2 linked regions of the Nothobranchius furzeri genome follow. The protein of the gene in region 2 purifies or fractionates together with the protein of the main gene of each other region. This does not show direct contact. Links are inferred from orthologs where the notes say so. Each region holds a gene or a part of one and is shown on either strand. Other genes may lie near its edges.

Evidence for each region.
Region 1: the proteins of cdc123 (region 2) and eif2s2 purify together in Homo sapiens (affinity purification with mass spectrometry; 4 studies listed by BioGRID and IntAct, counting the BioPlex papers as one, with this or other methods). This does not show direct contact. The link is inferred for Nothobranchius furzeri from reciprocal best matches to the Homo sapiens genes CDC123 and EIF2S2.

Annotation. Positions count from the first base shown.
Region 1 is NC_091755.1:32,895,498-32,899,764, reverse strand, and holds the start of eif2s2 (eukaryotic translation initiation factor 2 subunit 2), read right to left. Parts: upstream 3,023-4,267; 5' UTR 2,880-3,022; coding exon 2,865-2,879; intron 2,149-2,864; coding exon 1,965-2,148; intron 1,872-1,964; coding exon 1,771-1,871; intron 1,643-1,770; coding exon 1,513-1,642; intron 1,430-1,512; coding exon 1,329-1,429; intron 1,193-1,328; coding exon 1,044-1,192; intron 966-1,043; coding exon 909-965; intron 816-908; coding exon 730-815; intron 553-729; coding exon 377-552; 3' UTR 1-376.
Region 2 is NC_091741.1:60,830,944-60,835,466, reverse strand, and holds the start of cdc123 (translation initiation factor eIF2 assembly protein), read right to left. Parts: upstream 2,934-4,523; 5' UTR 2,929-2,933; coding exon 2,801-2,928; intron 2,650-2,800; coding exon 2,578-2,649; intron 2,364-2,577; coding exon 2,300-2,363; intron 1,612-2,299; coding exon 1,579-1,611; intron 1-1,578. Other genes in the region: nudt5 (ADP-sugar pyrophosphatase), read left to right, coding at 3,903-3,953, 4,082-4,149, 4,237-4,289, 4,359-4,466. UniProt on the Homo sapiens protein: ATP-dependent protein-folding chaperone for the eIF2 complex. Binds to the gamma subunit of the eIF2 complex which allows the subunit to assemble with the alpha and beta subunits.

The sequences.
Region 1 (4,267 bases), on a different chromosome or scaffold from region 2:
GGAAACATGTTTTTAGTCTTCATGACTGGTATGTGTAAAATGAAAAAACTAAAATACCTGACAACCTGTGGGGTTTTCTTCAAGAGATTAAATCACAGCAAAATAGAAAAAAAAAAAAAAACCTGGGAGGCAGAGGGTTTGTCAGCCACGCAACCAAATGCATTCAATCCAACAGTAAATCTGGAGAACGTCATCTGCTTACAGCATCTGTACCTCTTCAGTTAGACTTAGATCCTCTTTCACTTCCTGCCTGTAAAGGCTGCAACCACTAAACAACCAAACCCTCCCGCAGTTCGATTCAGAGAGTCCTTTTATTTAAATCAGAGGGGGCGACCGATCCCAGCTTTGGAGAGAGGGAGCCCACTTTTCATGGCCTTTAGTTGGCTTTGGCGCGGAGCTGCGCCCGCTTGCCCGTCACAGCCTGGAAGCCAGTCTTGATGCTGGCAACAGAGCAGCGGGAGTGGCACGTCTCACACTGCAGGAAATATAGACGAGTGTCCTTCTGCAGGATGGTCTCTGGAGAGCGGCAGGTGTGACAGGTTACGTATTCCTCTGCAGGAGCGAGAAGACTGGTATCAGTAGCAATACAACAACCAAGGTCCAAATCTAAAGCGTATGTCATTCAGTTATCGATTTGGGGGCATCATTCTAATGATATATGAGTGTGTGTGTACACAAGTGTAAAATTACAGTCAACTTAATAATAAACGAGAAAAAAGCCAAACTTACTGATATATCTTCTCAACACATTTTCTATCTGTTTCTGCTGAAATCTGCCCTTGATCACAAGCTGGTTGTTTCCATCTATCGAGCCGCTGATAACAGATAAGACCAAATAAAAACTCTTTTTGTTTTCAATGACAAAAACCATTTCTCAAACTTGTGAACACACACAACAAAAAACAAACCTTGTTCCCAGCTCAGCAAGTAGAAAAGCAAGGAGATGTTTAGGCTGACGATGCAACCTGCATCAGTGAAAGTACAACACTTAGAAAAGCCCCAGTAGAGTTCATTCAGAAGGGTTGGTTGCCAGGGAGACTCACAGTTTGCAGATGTCTGTGAAGTTGACAAAGGAGGTTTTCTTGGTTCCAACTCGGACCACCTGAGGTGGTTTCATCACAAACTTCCTCTTCTCTCCAGCCACCATGTCCGGGTTCTTCTCTCTCATGATGTTGAAAACTCTGTTTAGAAGCTGAAACAGAAACAGACATGAGATCTACCAGCCAAGCTTTACATTAACATTTACAGAACAACAACAAGAAAAGGTTGTTTTAAGAAGACAGAGCCGTATAAATAAGTGTAAGGGGCAGATATTAACAAATATCTACCTCATCATACGTGTAGTCTCTTTCTGAGCCGGCCCATGCAGGACCAGTGGAGGGGCTGAATGAAATCCCATCATTGTTTTTGCTCTCCTCATCCTCCAGTGCTACAAATAGAAAATAAACCCATTTTACACTAATATCCTATTGGTCCTTATGTTAAAGTAATTTCTGTAGTTTCAGTTTTTACCGTCATCTTTCTCCAAAAGCTCGCCCTCATCAAAATCTACTTTCTTTGTCTTCTTCTTTTTGGTGGGAAGCATCAAATCCAGACTGTCCTCCTCCGGGGCCTCCGTCTGCTCCCCTTCAATTTTAAGCTCCTGGTTTGGATCAGAAAATTATGAAATTTAATAATAATAATAACAATAATAAAGTATTGACAATGTGAGAAATATAAACTCCAGGGTCAGTAGGTGTAGAGAAGTAAAAAAGTGTGGCACTGACTGACCTTTAACCCCTCCTCTACATCATTATCAAAGACTTTCTTAGGTTTCTTCTTTTTTTTCTTCTGGTTGAAGAAGTTCAGGTCATTCAAATCATCTGACAGTTCTAAAGAAGACAAAGAAACCACAAAAAGCTTCAGACTGATGTAATTGTGTTGTAGGAGGAGTAACAAAGGGAAACGCCTGTCATCATTCTTACCTTTTTTCCTGCCTTCATCCTCATCTATATCCAGCTCCTTGTCGTCTCCAACCTCTGGCTCAGCCTCCTTCGCCTCCACCTCTTTAGCCTCCTCTCCTGCGACCCCTTCTCCTCCTTCCTCATCCAGCATGAAGGGCTTCTTTTTCTTTTTCTTCTTCTTGGTCATGTTGGGATCGAAAATCATCTAAAAGGGAAATGAAAAATGGGTTCAATGATACATGTGCAAATTTTATTTCACTTTAAATAAATATACTCTAAAATGTCAACCAGGAGTTAAATATTTTATTTATCTTCCTTAATCCATTCTGTAAAGAAACAAATAATGGGTCTAAAAACACGGTTGACCAAAACCAACACACAGACTAAAGCGAGAAAATGGCATGTCATAACATGACAAATTAACACAGCTAATGTAAAACGCAGTGTATTATTTGTGATAATTAGTTGAGAATAAACAAATCAGAGATGTCTACATGGATGGTTTACATCACGTCTTTCTTTATTAACTGTAATAAAGTGTCTACCAGAACATTTTTGCTGAGCTAATTCTCGCTAGCTCGTAGTTGCTAACATAAATCAACGGTTAGCCTCAGTTTCAAGAAGCTACTTAGCTAACTTAAGCCTTTGCTTGATTCTTAGATCTGTGACCATGAAGTTACTATGATGAATATAAATGTGAACTAGTGTGACAACCACAGCACGGACAATGTTTTCCTGTCAATATGACAACTCAGGCCGCTGTTCGCCCTGCTGCGGCCATGTGAGAGCTGCTGCTGCGGACAAGGAAAGAACTAGCTGTGCCGAGGCCCAAAGTCATCCTCAACACCGAGCTGGTCGGAAAATTCCCTTGAACAACAAAACAAACAGGGAAAAAACAACAGATCATGTAGGATAATCTACCTCGTCTCCGGACATGTTTGCCAGCCAAAAATCACAGAAGTCAGACCACTTCGAATCACTCGATTAGCTCCACACCTCTGCGCCGAAATATTTCTTGCATCAGCGTTGGTCCTCACTGCGCAGGCGTGAAGTCGCGTTACGCACTTACTTTGCGACACACGGCATGACACCTGAGTAGTGTTCAAGATCGACACTGTACGGCAAATAATTGTTACAAAACAGTGAATTAAAAAAAGTAAAAGCTTGTTATTAACTCTACGTTGTCTCCTATTTCATCACAGCTGAAGGCAGATGCGACAGTGGAGTTTTATGGGTATACGTTTTCTTCTCACGTTACTCTTAACAGGTGAACTACTTAATATATTTCATCCATCTATCGGTTTTCGTCTGCTTACGATAAATGACCTGCGTCTTTCAGAGTCAGAGGCCTCCATAGTGCTTTACACTACAGTGTATCATTCGTCCACACACACTCACACTTATCCCTTTGCAGTGTTAATTGTTATAATTTCATAAAGTATCTATTTTAAGTGACCAACTCTGAAATTGACATTTTGTCATATTTTTAACAGAAATTCTGGCATCCAAAGCTGCTAGAATAAAAGTTAATATTTGAGTTATTTTAGAGTATATACCCCAATAAAATGAGCCTATTTATAAATGCAATCCTAACTCGTCTTTAATTGTGTAAATTAGAGAAAAGGTCCAGTTACTACAGTCATGACACTTTATGAAACCTTTACTGGTTAAAAAAGGTTTTTTGTGTAAGTAGACACACATGAAAAATTTAAAACATTCAAAAACAGTAAAAATAATTGAAAACCTTTTAATGATTCTGCAAACAATATTCTCATTTGGATAAATAAAACATAGAAATGCAAACATGCTTGTCCATCTGTCCTTTTGCATTTCTTTTACTATGTAAAAACATACGTTGTGATTTCAAAAACCTAAATGATTTAAATGCAAAATGCAAATATTCTGGGTTGACTTTAATTCTATATTTTTTTATAAACCATCTTTCTACTGTTGCAATTAATATGGTGTGACAATAGTTTAATATATTTATCTTTTCTCTTTTAATGATATCGAATAAAAATAAAAAATAACCTCATGAGGACAAAAACAGACGGAGCAGGATCAAAGTATTAGGCCAGATGTCTCTCTTCGTAGCCGTGCAGTGTGATCTGTATTGTGACTTCGCCATGGTTGCATGCTTCACACTTTCAACTGAACCTCCCGGCAACAGCGGAATTACAGAATGACGTACAAAAGGGTGACACATTTGAGATATTTACACCAAATAGCAAGAACCACTGGTGAGAAAGCTTTCAAAGGGAGGGAGACGTCACAAAAAATGGCGACAGGAGGTAAAACAGGTAGAAACAAAACTGAGAGGTTCA
Region 2 (4,523 bases):
CAGGTTATTTTTGTCTGATTGTGAAATTAATTTGCTGATCTGAAACATTTAAAGTGACAGTGTGTATTTTTCCTGGTGGGGGGGGGGGGGGGGAGGGGCAGTAAATACTTAAATCATTGCAAGCAAGTAGTATTTTTGTGTTGAAGTAAGACCGTACCAACGGACGCCCATTAGGGTCAAAAAGCCTTGGGGAGGGCAAACTTTAGCTAAATAATGAGCACATCAGACTCCCTTTTATCAGTGAAGAGATAATTGTGAACAACAACATTTAACAATGACAAAAGCTTGTAACCATTTGTTACAAATCAGTAAATGCATTTTGTCCTCATGGGCTCCCGTAGAATGAAACATGGTGTCTAATATGGCGTCGCCCAGAGAGTTGCCCCCAAATTCCACTACCTCCGCTCTGGCACGAACTCCGCAGCAAAAACGGTCCCGCTGTAATCAATCAGAGCTGTTCCACTACTGTGGCCGTGCGGCGCAGTGCGCCACCCGCCGTTCCGCCATCCGGCAAAAATAGGGTCGATTCTAATTTTGCCGGATGCCAGGGCACCTCCGCAGTCAATGGACAGAAATCACAACCGCCCAACAGGAAAGGGAGCAAGCACAACTTCTGTTATTCCATAATAAATAAATCTGTTATTCCATAATAAATAAACAAAAGGTGTTTTTTTGTTTCATATGCACAGGTTTAACAACTTTTAACAACTATCAATGGCGGTTGAACTTTAAATGCACAAAAGTAAGCCATAAATACAGTTTCCACTATCAAAGTAGTCACCCTTTGTTGATCCAAACACTGCTGGTATCTCAACACAAATGATGGGCAGATTAAACAGTTCATTTCGATGCTTCTCCCACACAACGGGTGTTTGGATCTAACTTCCGCGTTTATTGCTTGGACTGTATCGCAAGATCTCGCATGCCTGTTTGCGCACCTCGGGTCTCTGTACCGGAGCGGAGCCGTTGTAGAGCGGGTATAGTATAATTTGAGTTCGGAAGCGAGCGGCAGCGGAGAGTGGAGCAGAGATAGTGGAATTTGGGGGTAAGGCCCACTCCCAGGTATTTTAGACCTGATTTTTAAGGTTATATGTTACAAAGCCACCAATATTTTTCAACAAGATTTTGATGGATATTTCCAGAAATCAATGGTTACAACTACACGTTGTCTCTTTAAGGGACAATAAATAAATAAAAATAAAACAAGAAATCTGTAAGGAGGCAAATACATTTCACAGCTTTATAAGAGAACAGTAGGAAATAGAAACACAAAATAGCATAACAGCCGCCGATTTAACTTAAAATGATGAGATGTAATTACCAAACAGGTAGATTTAAATTGTAGAATTCTAAAAACATCAGAATTCACACCCCATCACAAACATCTGCAGCCTAAATGCTCATATATCCCGTTTGTATGGATTCGGAGGCCAATGAGAACGTATCTAGGTCTTATTTAGTTTATTTTTATTAATTCGTTTATTCAGAAATCTGAAAAGAGATAAAAATCTAAATGGAAGTGGTGCGTTTACTGACTCTTGCTCAAAACAGAATATTCGAGCAATCAAATCTACTCACAGTGACTGTTGTGGTTGTTTCATCATCTGACCACTAGAGGGGAGCAGAGAGGTAAAACAGAATAAAGAAAAATCAAAAGATAAAGATTTGTAAAGATGCATAATAATAAATATCACTGTAGGAAACAAAAACACGAGATTAAACAGAAACCTGGAAAGGAGCTCACAATCCGGGAAAGGAGGACATGGATTAACAAAAAGAACAAATGGATTTCACAAGAGCTGCAAAGTTCCACTGCAGGGATCAGAACATCTGTTCACAAGGCTCTGTTAACGAAGATGAAGTTACTGAAAAGATAGCCTACGACTTCAAATAAACAAATCCACCATTAAAAGACCAAAACCTCTCAGAAAATAGTCTGTCAGACAAAAGGGTCTTTAAGTCTGACAGACGTTTCCTGAGACCTTTTAGTCTGTTTCTACTTAGTCAGACGTCTGATGGGTTTTTGGATGGAACCTGATGTTTTTTCTCTATTGTCTGATGTCTGACACCTGAGGATGTCTTAAATCCACACCGTGGTCCAGGCTGGAGACTGAACCAGCTTATCAAAAACTATTATCCATCAGATCTGCTTGTGAAAGAAAAAAGGAAGGCAACTAAAACCAATTTCCCATCCAAAGAGTTTAAGATTACAAAGAGTGAATTTTCAATCTACATATCCAGATGTATGTTTATGCATTTCAAAAGCTAAAAATAAGTTAACTCTGAGTGGTAAACACACCTGAACGTCTTCCTCTGCGTCTGAGTTGTAGCTGTTAGTGTGTGTCGGCTGTGTGCTGTGATCACTGAGGAGAAAAGAGAAAAATCACGATTATAAACTAACAACAGGCTTCAAGCACGAACTAAAAACCACCACAAGTCGTAAAACCGTCTTAAGAATCGTCATCACATTTCTGATTAGCTCAATCCCTGAAAAATAACAAGGGTTAACATGTTGATCCTAAAAAAAGCATATCTTAAACTCACAGAAACACACTGTTTATCCGTGTGGATTCATACCTTCCTGAGACTACCAGCGTCCCATCGTCCAGTAAATAGTCTATCACATTTTGAGGCAATGGAAGAATCTGACTGTAAAATAAAACGTTTAGACAACACAAATTCATTTTAGATGAAACACGACCGAAAGAAAATAAACGAAATGAAAGAAAAAGCCAAGGCCATCCAGCAAGAAGAAACCAATATCTTGTTTTTAATTCCTCCTAGAACTGGCAAATTTTACCTTTTTATTGTGTGTTTTTTGAATATCGGATACCAAACAGAAAACTGACAGTTAGCTACTTGCTCCTTCTTCATGCTGCAATAACCTGAGCCGGAAATGTGTCCATCAGTAAATATCACCCGGATCATCGGATCTTTTTTCAATTGTCATAAAAGTCTCCAACTTTAATCCCAACACTATTTTACATGCACTCTATTATATTCATTTTCAACTTTATTTGGTAAGTTAATTGAGGAAAACAACTACGTATTTTAAAAGAGCGAAGCATAATTTGTTGTTTTTTGGGGGAAGCATTTGGGAGTTGTACACAAAGTGGTAAAATGACGTAACCATCAATTTCTTACATAGATCGTTTATTACTAAGACGGTTTTCTCTTTTTATTCACTATATCCTTTATTATTTTACGGACGGCTTTAATTAGAAAAGTGGTGTAAATACAAATGGATCAGACTAACATTCGATATAATTATGGTTCATTAAAATATTAAAGTAATCAATAAAACAAAAGCGATTTACTATTAAAACTATCTAAATTTTCAGTGTAAAGTGCTAGGTTGGCAGTAAATTGTGTTTTAAAGAAAATTGTTTTTCTTTTAAAACATACTATACGCTTCCTTATTAAACGAACAAATAAAATAATATTTTTTTATTAAATTTCGTGATATTTTATTACGTGTGGTATACAGTATTACTACAGTGACGTTTGAGACTCTCTGAAGTCTTCTCAGAGTGAGGCGTCTTGTTATTGTCTGCTCTTTGCTGCTAACACTCGGCAGGGATTTCACGTGAGTAAACTTTAGTTTCTCTCAATCAAATTTTGAGTTAAGTTAAAGTTCAAAATACTAAAACTCCGACTTGTGTGGCAGAAACTCGTAGCTGTTGTTAAATAAAAAAGAACAAAAGTCGAGCCTAAAGCAGACATTTAATGGAAGGGGAATTGATAGTTTTTCTAGTTGTTGTAGCTAACTGAGCCGCTCGTGATGATGACTGAAGCGTAATCATATTTAATTACGTCGTAGTTTGTTTACATTCTCAGCTTATTTCACAGAGGTGGTGGTTTATTATTACTTTCTTTCAGTTTTAGTTCATCCGACAGAGAAAATGAGCAACTCCGATGAGCCCAAAGTGACACCACACATAGTCAAAGAAGAGGTTTGTGCTCTTATTTTTTCTCTTATTTGTTACACCTTAGCTGCATTTTGTCATAAGGTCAGTTTAATGATTCCAGACCAGTTTTTGTCTCATTTAGGACCACGTCTTTGTTTATTTTTGCCTTCCAGCTCTTGGCAGCAGGACAATGGGTGAAGCTGGAAAAGACCACATATGTTGATTCTGCTGGAAACACCAGGTACAGTTCAGTCCTTCATTTATGTCTCTTTACAGGAAAAACCTGATCGTTCTATTAAGTGTAAATATTTTCTTTTTTGTTCACTAGAACCTGGGAGACTGTGAAGAGGACAACCAGACAGACCAACACAGAAGCAGATGGTTAGTCTTCCTGTTTGATATTCATTGTGTTTATATTGTTAAGTTTGTAATTGTATCTTTTCTTTGCAGGTGTAGGAATCATCGCTCTGCTGAAACGAACGCTTCATAAAGACTGCGTGGTGATGGTGAAGCAGTTCCGTCCTCCCCTTGGAAGCTGCACTCTGGAGTTTCCTGCAGGTCCTCGAGTGATTTTACCCTAGCCTAGAGGAACCTTCAGGAACATGTCCTCACGAT